Linked DNA regions of Drosophila melanogaster. The protein of the gene in region 2 interacts with the protein of the main gene of each other region in a biochemical or structural test. Each region holds a gene or a part of one and is shown on either strand. Other genes may lie near its edges. The genes, in order: dgrn and dpn.

Region 1 (4,633 bases), on a different chromosome or scaffold from region 2:
AGACGAGAACGCGTATAAGTGTGCGTGTTGTGCTAGAAGACGATTTTCGGGCCGAAATCAATTCTGATCGAAGAAACGAATTTACATGGTACATATTAGGGTAGTTTTTGCCAATTTCCTAGCAATATGATAAAATAAAAAATTTTTAAAAATTCGCGCCCTGGCTATTATAATTTTAAAGCTTTTTTAAATTTCTTTGTTAAAATCGCCGCTCGAATTAGCTACCGTTTACACATTTGTATTTATGTTTAATTCTAATTTGTCTCTCATCTGACAATTTTTTAAAACCGAAATATTTTTTTTGAAACACTTTTAATGTTAATGTTACATCATATTAAGTCAAATGATTTAATAAATATACTAAATAATTAAATATGCAATTAAATTAAATTGCAAAAGTAATATCAAAGACAATAGAATTATTCTAGTGTCTTTGCTTTGTTCATATCTTGAGGCACGAAGTGCGGACACAAGCACTCAACAATCATTGCCTTATTAATTTTTCACACGCCGCAAGATGAATACTCTAATGACAAATATTCTTATATAAATTCATTTTTGAAATTTATTTTTGTGATAATATGTACATAGATTTGACTATTTCTAATCTATTTTCAAATAATAATAACGTTAAGGCAATGCAAAACAAGAATTTTTCGCATGGTGCCAATTGATAAAAAATAATATAGATTTAAAGCCAAAGAACTTCTAAGGTGAAGGGCATATTTTGTCAAATTTACAATGCATGTGAATACGTGTGCACACATACAGATGTCTGCTATCACTTTGTGCGTTGAAAAGAGCTGTTCGCTGTAGCGCTCTTCGCTCTCTCGCTCTCTAACAAAAATTCGAGAGAGCCTGGAGCCACCTCTAGAGCCACGGCCAAAAAATCGTGTGCCAAAAAATCGTATGGCGTTACGCATCTTGTTATTCTAGGGTCTTTGGCTGTACCACGTTTACAACTTAGGCAAATCACTAAATAATATAAATATAGGAGCTGTGCTTACAAGGTATGGTCATGTGCTAAGCTTAATCTAGCTATACCTAGACAACAGAAGCGACAACCTTAAGCTATTTTGGGAACGGGTTTTGTCCATTTGTGGAGTCTTAGAAGAGTCGCTTTTGGACGATGTAAAAGACACAGGCGAGGAACAAGGAGAAGGCGAAGAAGAGCAGCATTTTGTCAGTGCACTCGCGTCGTCCGTACTTTTTGAGCAGCTTGCCGGACATGCTAATGCTGCCGGCCGTGTGGTGCAGTTCGTCGCTGGTGGCCTCCACATTTTGCGACGAGGCCACGAGCGTTTCCAGGGTGATGGCGCTCTTCTGGGTGGTCTCCGAGAGGTGCCGCGATATAGCCAGCATCTTCTCGGTCACGTCGTTCTCCTGCGAAACCAGACTGCCCTGGTTGTGCCGCGCCCGTGTTGTGGTTCGTTGGCGTAGCTCACTCTCGCCGGTAATGGCCATTAACTCCTCCCGATTGGCCTTCTCGATCTCCAGCATCGTGGACACGTTTGCTTTTCGGAACGCCTGCAGCGTTTTGGAGAACTGATCACGGTGGTCGTCCACTTCATTGGCCAGCGCAGAGTCTGCCGTGTCCCGCGCCCAGTCGTCCAGCCGCTCGATGCTTTTGCGGATAGCAGACAGTTTGGAGCGGCCCGCTTCGTTCAGCTCCTCGAGTTCGGCGATGGAGGTGCGGCTGTTCAGGATGTCCTAAAAACAGAAGCTCGGTAATGAGGGTTTCTCTTCAGATAGCGGAGACTTACGTGTATTATTGCCTTAGCCTGCAGATTGTTATCGATAAGGTCCTGCCGTATGGCCTGTAATGTAAACGCATCCTTGTCCATGTCTCCAACTTTGTTTTGTTTCGAAAATATTCTATTATTCTGCTTTGGTGACGTGCATTTAACGTTAATTCCCGCAATTTTCTAACACTACCACGGCACGGTATATATCGATGGCATTTAATCGCCTAAAAAATATCGTTTACATAGTGATGGTATGGTTTTGTAATGTCGACATATTTATATACATTTCTTATAATTATTTTGTTATCAAAGAATTTCGCCGAAACGGAAATTTTATTTTTAATAAATTATTGATTTTTATTGAATTACAAGTGTCATTCTAAACAGCATTGTATAATACCGCAAAAATCGATAGTCGATCTTAAATCCTTGTTCCCGAATGTCCGTAAAGTGTCATCTTTAAAATAACCGAATGGTCGCGTGAAAGGAGGAAACTATTTTGCACATTTCAATCTGCACTAAAGCACATGTATATCTGGGTTCACCTGCTTTTGTCTTTACTACGAAATCATTTCACAAGTTTCCTGGTCATTTGTTGCTCGAACAATGTCAGATTCGACTATTTTCCGTTTTGTAAGTATACCCTGGACTTTAAACTAGTTAATTCCGATTTATGATTGATTTATTTAGTAGAACTCATCCATTCTTGATCAGTCAGCGGACAGCAACGTATCCAGTTCGAGCTCCAATTCCAGTGTATCCGACTCTTCTGTGGACTCCCATTCATCCATAGAATCCAATTCGGGACACAATACATCCGTGGAATCTCAGTCATCCGCGGAATCTGATTCATCCGCTGATTCCCATTCGTCCTTGGAACGCCCATCCCCAGTGGAGCGTGATTTATCTGTGGAATCAGACTCATCTTCAGCCACCAATACCAGCGAATCTTCAGTCGGAGAAGCTTCAAACCAACTGCAGTCACCGCAAAGCAATAACCCCTTAAATATGGCTAACTTGTCTGTCTCGACTGAAGATGCTCATTCGCAGATCAGATCACTTACCCAGGATGTGATCCAGATGGAAGCAGAGTTGGATCGCAGTATGTCACTCCATAATCATTACGAAGTTTTCTGTTAATTGTTTCATATTTCAGTGAATCGCTACTGCGAGGAAGTTGTGGCACAGATTGACACCTTCGCCACGAGAACCTCAACGCCAACAACTCGTAGAATTCGCCGCAGAAGTAAGTGCAGATCAAAATGAACGCATCTGGGTTTCACAATGAACAATGTTTTTAATTCCACAATAACCAATGACATAGTTCTTTCTATAACCCTGCCGGGTTACTTACTTTTGAAGGCAAAATTTATCTATATTTTTTAAAATTTTGTGAAAACCAGATAGCTTTCGCGGATAGAGCTAGCAATAAACCGAATACCGTTTCTTACTTTTTCCGTAGCGAGTCCAGTAGAAGTGATAGATCTGTCCCATTTGGACCGTGCACCACCTGTTCGATCCGCTCGGAATCGTGATCCCGATGCTTTCATCGATCTATGCACCCCCGAAGGCCCAAGAAGTCGCACAGTGAATCTTCACTCCAACGACTCCCTCACCATTCTGCCACGTCGGTCAGCCGAAAATGACCCGGTAGTGGATCTCGACGTTGCGTCGCCACCAAAACGCGTTAATCGCGACATTGATGAGTCCCAAAAAGAGGAGTTATACAAGTGCCCCATCTGCATGGACAGTGTATCGAAGCGCGAGCCAGTGTCAACCAAATGTGGACACGTCTTCTGCCGCGAATGCATCGAAACAGCCATCAGAGCTACGCACAAGTGCCCAATATGCAACAAGAAGCTGACCGCACGTCAATTCTTTCGCATTTACTTGTAAGTTGCTTATACTATTTCACATTTTTTGCTCTGTGAGCCTTAATATAATATAGTTTAAAAAAAAACGCTTAACTATGTTAGAGACGGCAAATAATGTCTGTTCTTGTGATTCAGAAAAAATTAGTTATTTAAGTTGTCCTATGTAATCAGTGGCGCCCAAAAATATTTGAATACAACTATAAAAACTAAAGACTTCACTTTTGATGTATGAAACCATCTCAGGCTAGAATAATATAAGAACGACCGAAAGGAGTGTCAAAGTATTATGTAGGCATTTTTCCAAACGCAATTTAACAATGTAACATACATATAATATAATAAATAAAATGGTCCCAACGCATATCAACAGGTTTGTCTCAATCTCATTTTTTATTGTTGGCTACTATTTTTTGAGACAGAAGTCAGACATGGAATTCTGAGATCATTAAAGGGTCGATAAAACAGGATAAATTGGAAACAGGTGGAACATGAAGTGTCTTTAAAGAGACTTTTTCCCTCCAATTTTGTATATATATAACAATATATTTTTTTTTTTTTAAACTTCATTCTATTTATTTTGGTTCCAAAAGGAATCGTTCGGTCAATTCCTCTGAACTTAACCTTATGTGTGTATAAAGGTATATTAGACCAAGTGGTTTCTTAATTATTAAGTACAAAAGGGAAAATGTATCTAGTTATTAATTACTTATTGTGTAAGGGTGTAGGGAGATCGGTGGGGTGTACCCTCTTCAGCCTTCGGAGGGAGATGGGATTAGATAGGCTATTTGCTAGTCGGTTCGGGTGGACCATAAGCCTGTCGGCATAACGGCTGCTGTGAAAATTAATCTGATCCCCAAGAGGGGTAACTTTCAGATCTCTTTCGATTACCTTGTTTGTCACGTACCAGGGGAGCCCAAAAGCACGACGTGCAGCTCTCGACTAGACGACACGGAGCCTATTGAGCTGGGATTTGGCGGCAGTTCCCCACACCTGGATGGCATAACTCCACGTTGG
Region 2 (5,711 bases):
TAGCCGTGGCATTTATTCAATTTACGAAAGTTGACATCGGATCAGTGCTGCAGAGCTTGTGCATGATGGATGATCGCCACAGATTATTGCTCAACACGGGATTTACGCTCAGGCCGCGAGGGATCACTTTGCACAACCAGGGTTGCCAGGCGGCGCAATACGTTTACGATCCCACCCAAAACTCCCCAAATCGGTCCATAGGTAGATCTACGTCAGCTGTCAGCTGGCGCATGGCCCGCGTCAGTGGTTATTGACAACTCCTTTGGTCGTAATCCTGCCAACATCGTAAAGTAATAAATTTGCCTGAAAAAGGAAAATCTGCCGGGGATCGACTATAAAAATTGGCCCAGCCAGGTAAGCTCCGTAATGATTGACCCCGACCCTCAGTCCCAGACCCACGACCGATCCAGGTCCGATTCCGATCCATTGCAAGTCGCGATTCCGTCCCGAAACCCAAGCAACCCCCTAAGACGCTTCTGCCGATGAGCCGACCAGGCAAAAGCGAAGAATTTGAAACTAAGGATTTCGCCTTGCAAGGGGGTTGGGTTGTCACGGGGGTTGCGGCAGCTGCGCCGAACAATTGCCAAGGAGTTCTCCTTAATGAATTGCAAATCATTCGCCGGGCATTGATCAAGTTTGTCCTTGCCAAGGGTGAAATCTGTGCGACTAAATGTGCCATCAGCCAGCCACCCAAAAGGGAAACGGACACAAACGGAACATCTGTCGCAAATAATGCTACTCACTGATAACTTATAGAAAATCTCACTTGATACATTTTTTAAGGAACTAAAGATTTTTTGCTTTGCTTTAGCAAATTTCAAGTACTAAAGAAGAATCGCTGTTAATTCTCTGAATATAGTTCATATTTTTGTTAACTATTGCTTTAATCAATTCATTAAAAGTAATAAGCAAGTAAAAAGTAAAAAAAAGTAAAGTAATAATATTCATAAGATTTATAGTAGCTTTGTATAATTATTGCTAAATATATGAATATTCTAAAACAAATAGATTGGGTATTAAGTCGGCTTCGACACGAATTAGAAGATTAAATTCAGTTATAAATTTTTGTTAAATTGTAATAAACTTTAAATTCATTAATGATATGTTATTGATTTTAATGCTTAATTTCCTTCAAAATTATTTAATATACAATGCTTGCTGTATTTTACAATAAAATCAACTAAATTTTGTGGGTTTCGTCAAGCCAAAGGCTAATGACTTGGCTTAACCGAATGTTGTGTTGTTTCTCGATCAGGCTCGACTTAGTCTCGTTTACTTGAGTTAAGCTCCTATTTTCACTAATCCCCTGGAATCCGCAATTCGTTGACTCGGCAACTCTGCCTGCCTGGGAATACCTACTCAAATACTCACTTAAATCTCACTCCGAGTGTGAACTCATTGGATTTGGGGTGGTTATGCACTCACTCACTCTCCGATTGAGCGCAACTGCGCTGCTGCGGTGAAAAGTTCTCAGTCTGCGGACGGCGATCGTTGGGCTGCCTACCTGCCTCAGCTCTGCCTCTGCCGCTGCCCGCGTCGCCAGGTAAGAGAGTCCCTCGGTTTCACTCGTGGACTCGTTTCGGCTTCGACCCGATTCGTTTTTAGCTGGTGCCCGTGGACTCGGAGGATCAGTATCCTTTTGGCATCTCGCGAGCGCGGTCGTCTGCCGCTCTCCTTTGAATGAACATTTAAAATACTATTCTATACGATTCGATAACCAGAACGATCTTTAACGCGTACCGCTTGTTAAGTTTTTGTTGTTCGGACATTACTAAGAAGTACGTGCAATAATTGTTATAACTATTTTCGTACTCGAACCAAAGTTATTGTGTTGTGAAAAAGACCAAATCGAAATCGAACTATCTTGGATTATCTCCCACTTGGATATACAAATTAAAATCGTTACAAAATGGATTACAAAAACGATATTAATTCCGACGACGATTTCGACTGCTCCAACGGCTATAGCGACAGCTATGGCTCCAATGGACGCATGTCCAATCCCAATGGATTGTCAAAAGCAGAACTTAGAAAGGTGAGTTCGCTCTTTTGCGATGAAATTGGACTCGCAAACTAAAAAATAGCAGAGTTTATTAGCACCCTCGATCGTTTTGAACCTTTTCATTTTAATGGCTTAGAAAATGTAAAGCATTAAATTAATTTTAAAAATCAAGTGAAACCCTTGTTTTATATAAACAAAGATATCCCTTAAACTGAAATAAATTCCTACGAAATAAACTAATTGATTCCCTTTCTTTTCTAGACCAACAAACCGATTATGGAGAAACGTCGCCGAGCTCGCATTAATCACTGCCTCAACGAACTGAAGTCCCTTATCCTGGAGGCGATGAAAAAAGACGTAAGTATCTTGCCCGAGCGTCAAAGCAGAAAAGGAGCGGTCCGCCCGCGAATTAGAAACTAGCCCCCGATCCCTTTTGGTTCACTTTCTTATAAATAATGTTAGTCCACAAAAAAAAACCTTTAAGGCACAAGTGTCCGAAGGGCGGCAGAACTACAAAAGAACAAAAAAATGTATAAAAAACGAACTCCTACGACACAAGAACTGAAAAAAAAAACACAAACCAAGGGCTCTAATTGAGTATTAAATTTTATTGATGATCATTACACTAGAGCGCCGACGAGGAGTCAGTCAAGAGACCAAAAAGTGTTAACAAGTCGAGGAATTACGCAGAAATCGCCGGAGATGCGAACGAAACCAGTTTCCAAGGAGTGATCCTGCTGTGAGAAACTACAAAGCAGAAATCAAGTAAAATTTGCCGCCGCAGAATTCTGCAGGAGAGCCGGACCAAAAATCAAATAAGAAAGACATTGAGGGAAAAAAGCAAAAGTAAACAAAAGGTTCAGACAGGGGAGCGGGGGAGGTTGAGGGGGCGGGGCTGGCGAGCGACCTGCGTGGGAACCTTTTGCTAAAATATGCAGTCCCAGCGGCGAGAAAGGGACGAACAATCGGGGACCGAAGACTGGCGAAGATCGCACTGCGCGAAAAAAGAAGATCAGGAAGAACGATTTGGAATCTTCTGTGCCCAAAAAGTCTTCATATGAGATCACAAACGATAAGATCGGCGAGTAGTTTATTTTAGAACCACTTACTAAAGACAGTCACTTTTCCATCATTAGTATTCACTTGCCAGAAAATTTGACTTTAAGCCCCCTTTTTGCTCAGTGCACAGTAGCAAGATCAGTCGTTCTTCTCGCTGGAGTTGCTGAATCTCACCTTGGTCGTGTGATATTTACAGAGTGGACTCGACTGAAGTGGACTGCAGATTACACGCGAATAGTTGGACATATGAGGCACGAAACGTGCTTCTTAACTTCGCTTTTTCCCAAGCTATTGAACTTGTTGTAGGGCCCCAAACAATTAGCCCGACCATCTCCCACCCCATCCCCATTTCATCATTATCTGACTTTGGTTCCTTCGTCTTCTATACTTTTAGCCGGCTCGTCATACCAAACTGGAGAAGGCCGACATACTTGAGATGACGGTGAAGCATCTGCAGTCGGTGCAGCGCCAGCAGCTCAACATGGCCATCCAATCGGATCCCAGCGTTGTCCAGAAGTTCAAGACGGGATTCGTTGAGTGCGCGGAGGAGGTGAACCGCTATGTAAGCCAAATGGATGGCATCGATACCGGTGTTCGTCAGCGGCTCAGCGCCCATCTTAACCAGTGTGCCAATAGTCTGGAGCAGATCGGTTCGATGAGCAACTTCAGCAATGGATACCGTGGTGGCTTGTTTCCCGCCACAGCTGTCACGGCTGCTCCCACTCCGCTGTTTCCCTCGTTGCCGCAGGACTTGAACAACAACAGCCGCACGGAGTCATCGGCTCCGGCCATCCAAATGGGTGGACTTCAGCTAATTCCCTCCCGCCTGCCCTCGGGAGAGTTTGCCCTCATCATGCCGAACACAGGTTCCGCTGCTCCGCCTCCGGGACCCTTTGCCTGGCCAGGATCTGCAGCGGGAGTCGCAGCTGGAACAGCCAGTGCCGCCTTGGCCAGCATTGCCAATCCCACACATCTAAATGACTATACACAGAGCTTCAGGATGAGCGCGTTCAGCAAACCGGTCAATACCTCAGTTCCGGCCAATCTTCCGGAAAACCTCATCCACACACTGCCCGGCCAAACGCAGCTGCCGGTGAAGAACAGCACAAGCCCACCGCTGAGCCCAATCTCCTCCATCTCCAGCCACTGCGAGGAGTCCCGGGCTGCCTCGCCCACCGTGGATGTGATGAGCAAGCACAGTTTCGCCGGCGTCTTCTCAACTCCGCCACCAACCAGCGCGGAGACCTCCTTCAACACCAGCGGATCCCTCAACTTGAGTGCCGGAAGCCACGACAGCAGCGGATGCTCGCGACCGCTGGCCCACTTGCAGCAACAGCAAGTGAGCTCCACCAGCGGAATCGCCAAGCGCGACAGGGAGGCGGAGGCCGAGTCCAGCGACTGCTCCCTGGACGAGCCCTCGTCCAAGAAATTCCTAGCTGGCGCCATCGAAAAGTCGAGCTCCGCTTGGAGGCCGTGGTAGATCAACCGCACAGGCCACTTCTATGTTACGTTTATACATTGTTAATTTATTTCATTGCAATTTTTTCAAAGATCACTTCAATGCTTTAGAACCCCATTAAGTTTCAACGATTTCTATATGTTTTTATGTATCCCCGTTTCGCTTTCTTCATTTTAAGTTCAGCTGTGATTTTGTATATTTTTTGTGTAGTTCTCGTTTAAGCGCTTTATACGACTATTATGTAGTTCATTAAATAATTATGTTCTTTAATGTTTCATTAACTGCTCAAGTATTTAAACAATTAAACGTGTTTCTATTTAAGTTATGTAGTTTTCATTGTATAGCGTTTATCATTAGGTCATTCACGTTTCTATATTAGTGTTTTAATTTAACGATTGTAATTTTAACTTTTAGGTAATGCAAAATTCGATGGAGTGAAAATAATGATAATAAAAAAAAAATGCTGCAAAAGAAAAATCCATCCAAATTTAATGGTTCCTTGGTTCTTAACTGATTAGAATTGGAAAATTCAAGATCGCATCAACAATCAATAGTACTTGAACTCATTGAAAAGTCGGAAGCTGAATTCAAATCAATACGGAAACAGCCTTATCATGTATGTTCGATGTTTTCGCAAAGTTTGATTGAAAAGATAACTCAATCGAAAGCTCCCAATCCATGCTATATAAGCAATAGGCGGAACACATTTAGTGTGTCAAAAACTAAATTATTGCAATCAAGAGCGCGCAGTGACTTTCAGGCGTGCATTGAAAAATCTCAGAAATTATAAAAACAATTTAATTGAAAAATTTTAATTTTACCATGCCAGGAAATCTGTTTCAAGTGTTACTAACTGTGGCGATCCTGCCAGCTATTAGTTTGGCATCTAGTTCTGAAGATGGTCTGCACCATTACCGTGCTTCTCCAAAGCTCACGGGTCCTGTGAAGCTCCTACACGATCCCGAGGACACCATTCTGAACACCTTGGATGGCGCTCTGGAGAAGATCTCCACCATCTACATGCAGGCCTTGTTCGCTGGTACCCACACCCCGGAACTGGAAGCCCCACTCCGAGCCCTCGAAATCGAGTTGTTCGATCTGCTGGACGAGCTCTATAATCAGAATCGTCTCAAGGACTATATAAAGTACGAGGCGGAAGTGACGCGACAAATGATAATCTACAACATGCTG

What was found.
Region 1: of the proteins of dpn (region 2) and dgrn, one has a biochemical effect on the other in vitro, tested with the Drosophila melanogaster proteins (one study listed by BioGRID).

Annotation. Positions count from the first base shown.
Region 1 is NT_033777.3:5,822,598-5,827,230, forward strand, and holds dgrn (degringolade), read left to right. Parts: upstream 1-2,017; 5' UTR 2,018-2,351; coding exon 2,352-2,378; intron 2,379-2,435; exon of another isoform or gene 2,436-2,438; coding exon 2,439-2,847; intron 2,848-2,901; coding exon 2,902-2,991; intron 2,992-3,207; coding exon 3,208-3,641; 3' UTR 3,642-3,979; downstream 3,980-4,633. Other genes in the region: Sec20 (secretory 20), read right to left, coding at 1,108-1,710, 1,764-1,844.
Region 2 is NT_033778.4:8,228,247-8,233,957, reverse strand, and holds dpn (deadpan), read left to right. Parts: upstream 1-1,627; 5' UTR 1,628-1,909; coding exon 1,910-2,035; intron 2,036-2,263; coding exon 2,264-2,359; intron 2,360-2,369; exon of another isoform or gene 2,370-2,854; intron 2,855-2,892; exon of another isoform or gene 2,893-3,455; coding exon 3,456-4,541; 3' UTR 4,542-4,987; downstream 4,988-5,711. Other genes in the region: CG34217 (uncharacterized protein), read left to right, coding at 5,343-5,711. UniProt on the Drosophila melanogaster protein: Transcriptional repressor of genes that require a bHLH protein for their transcription.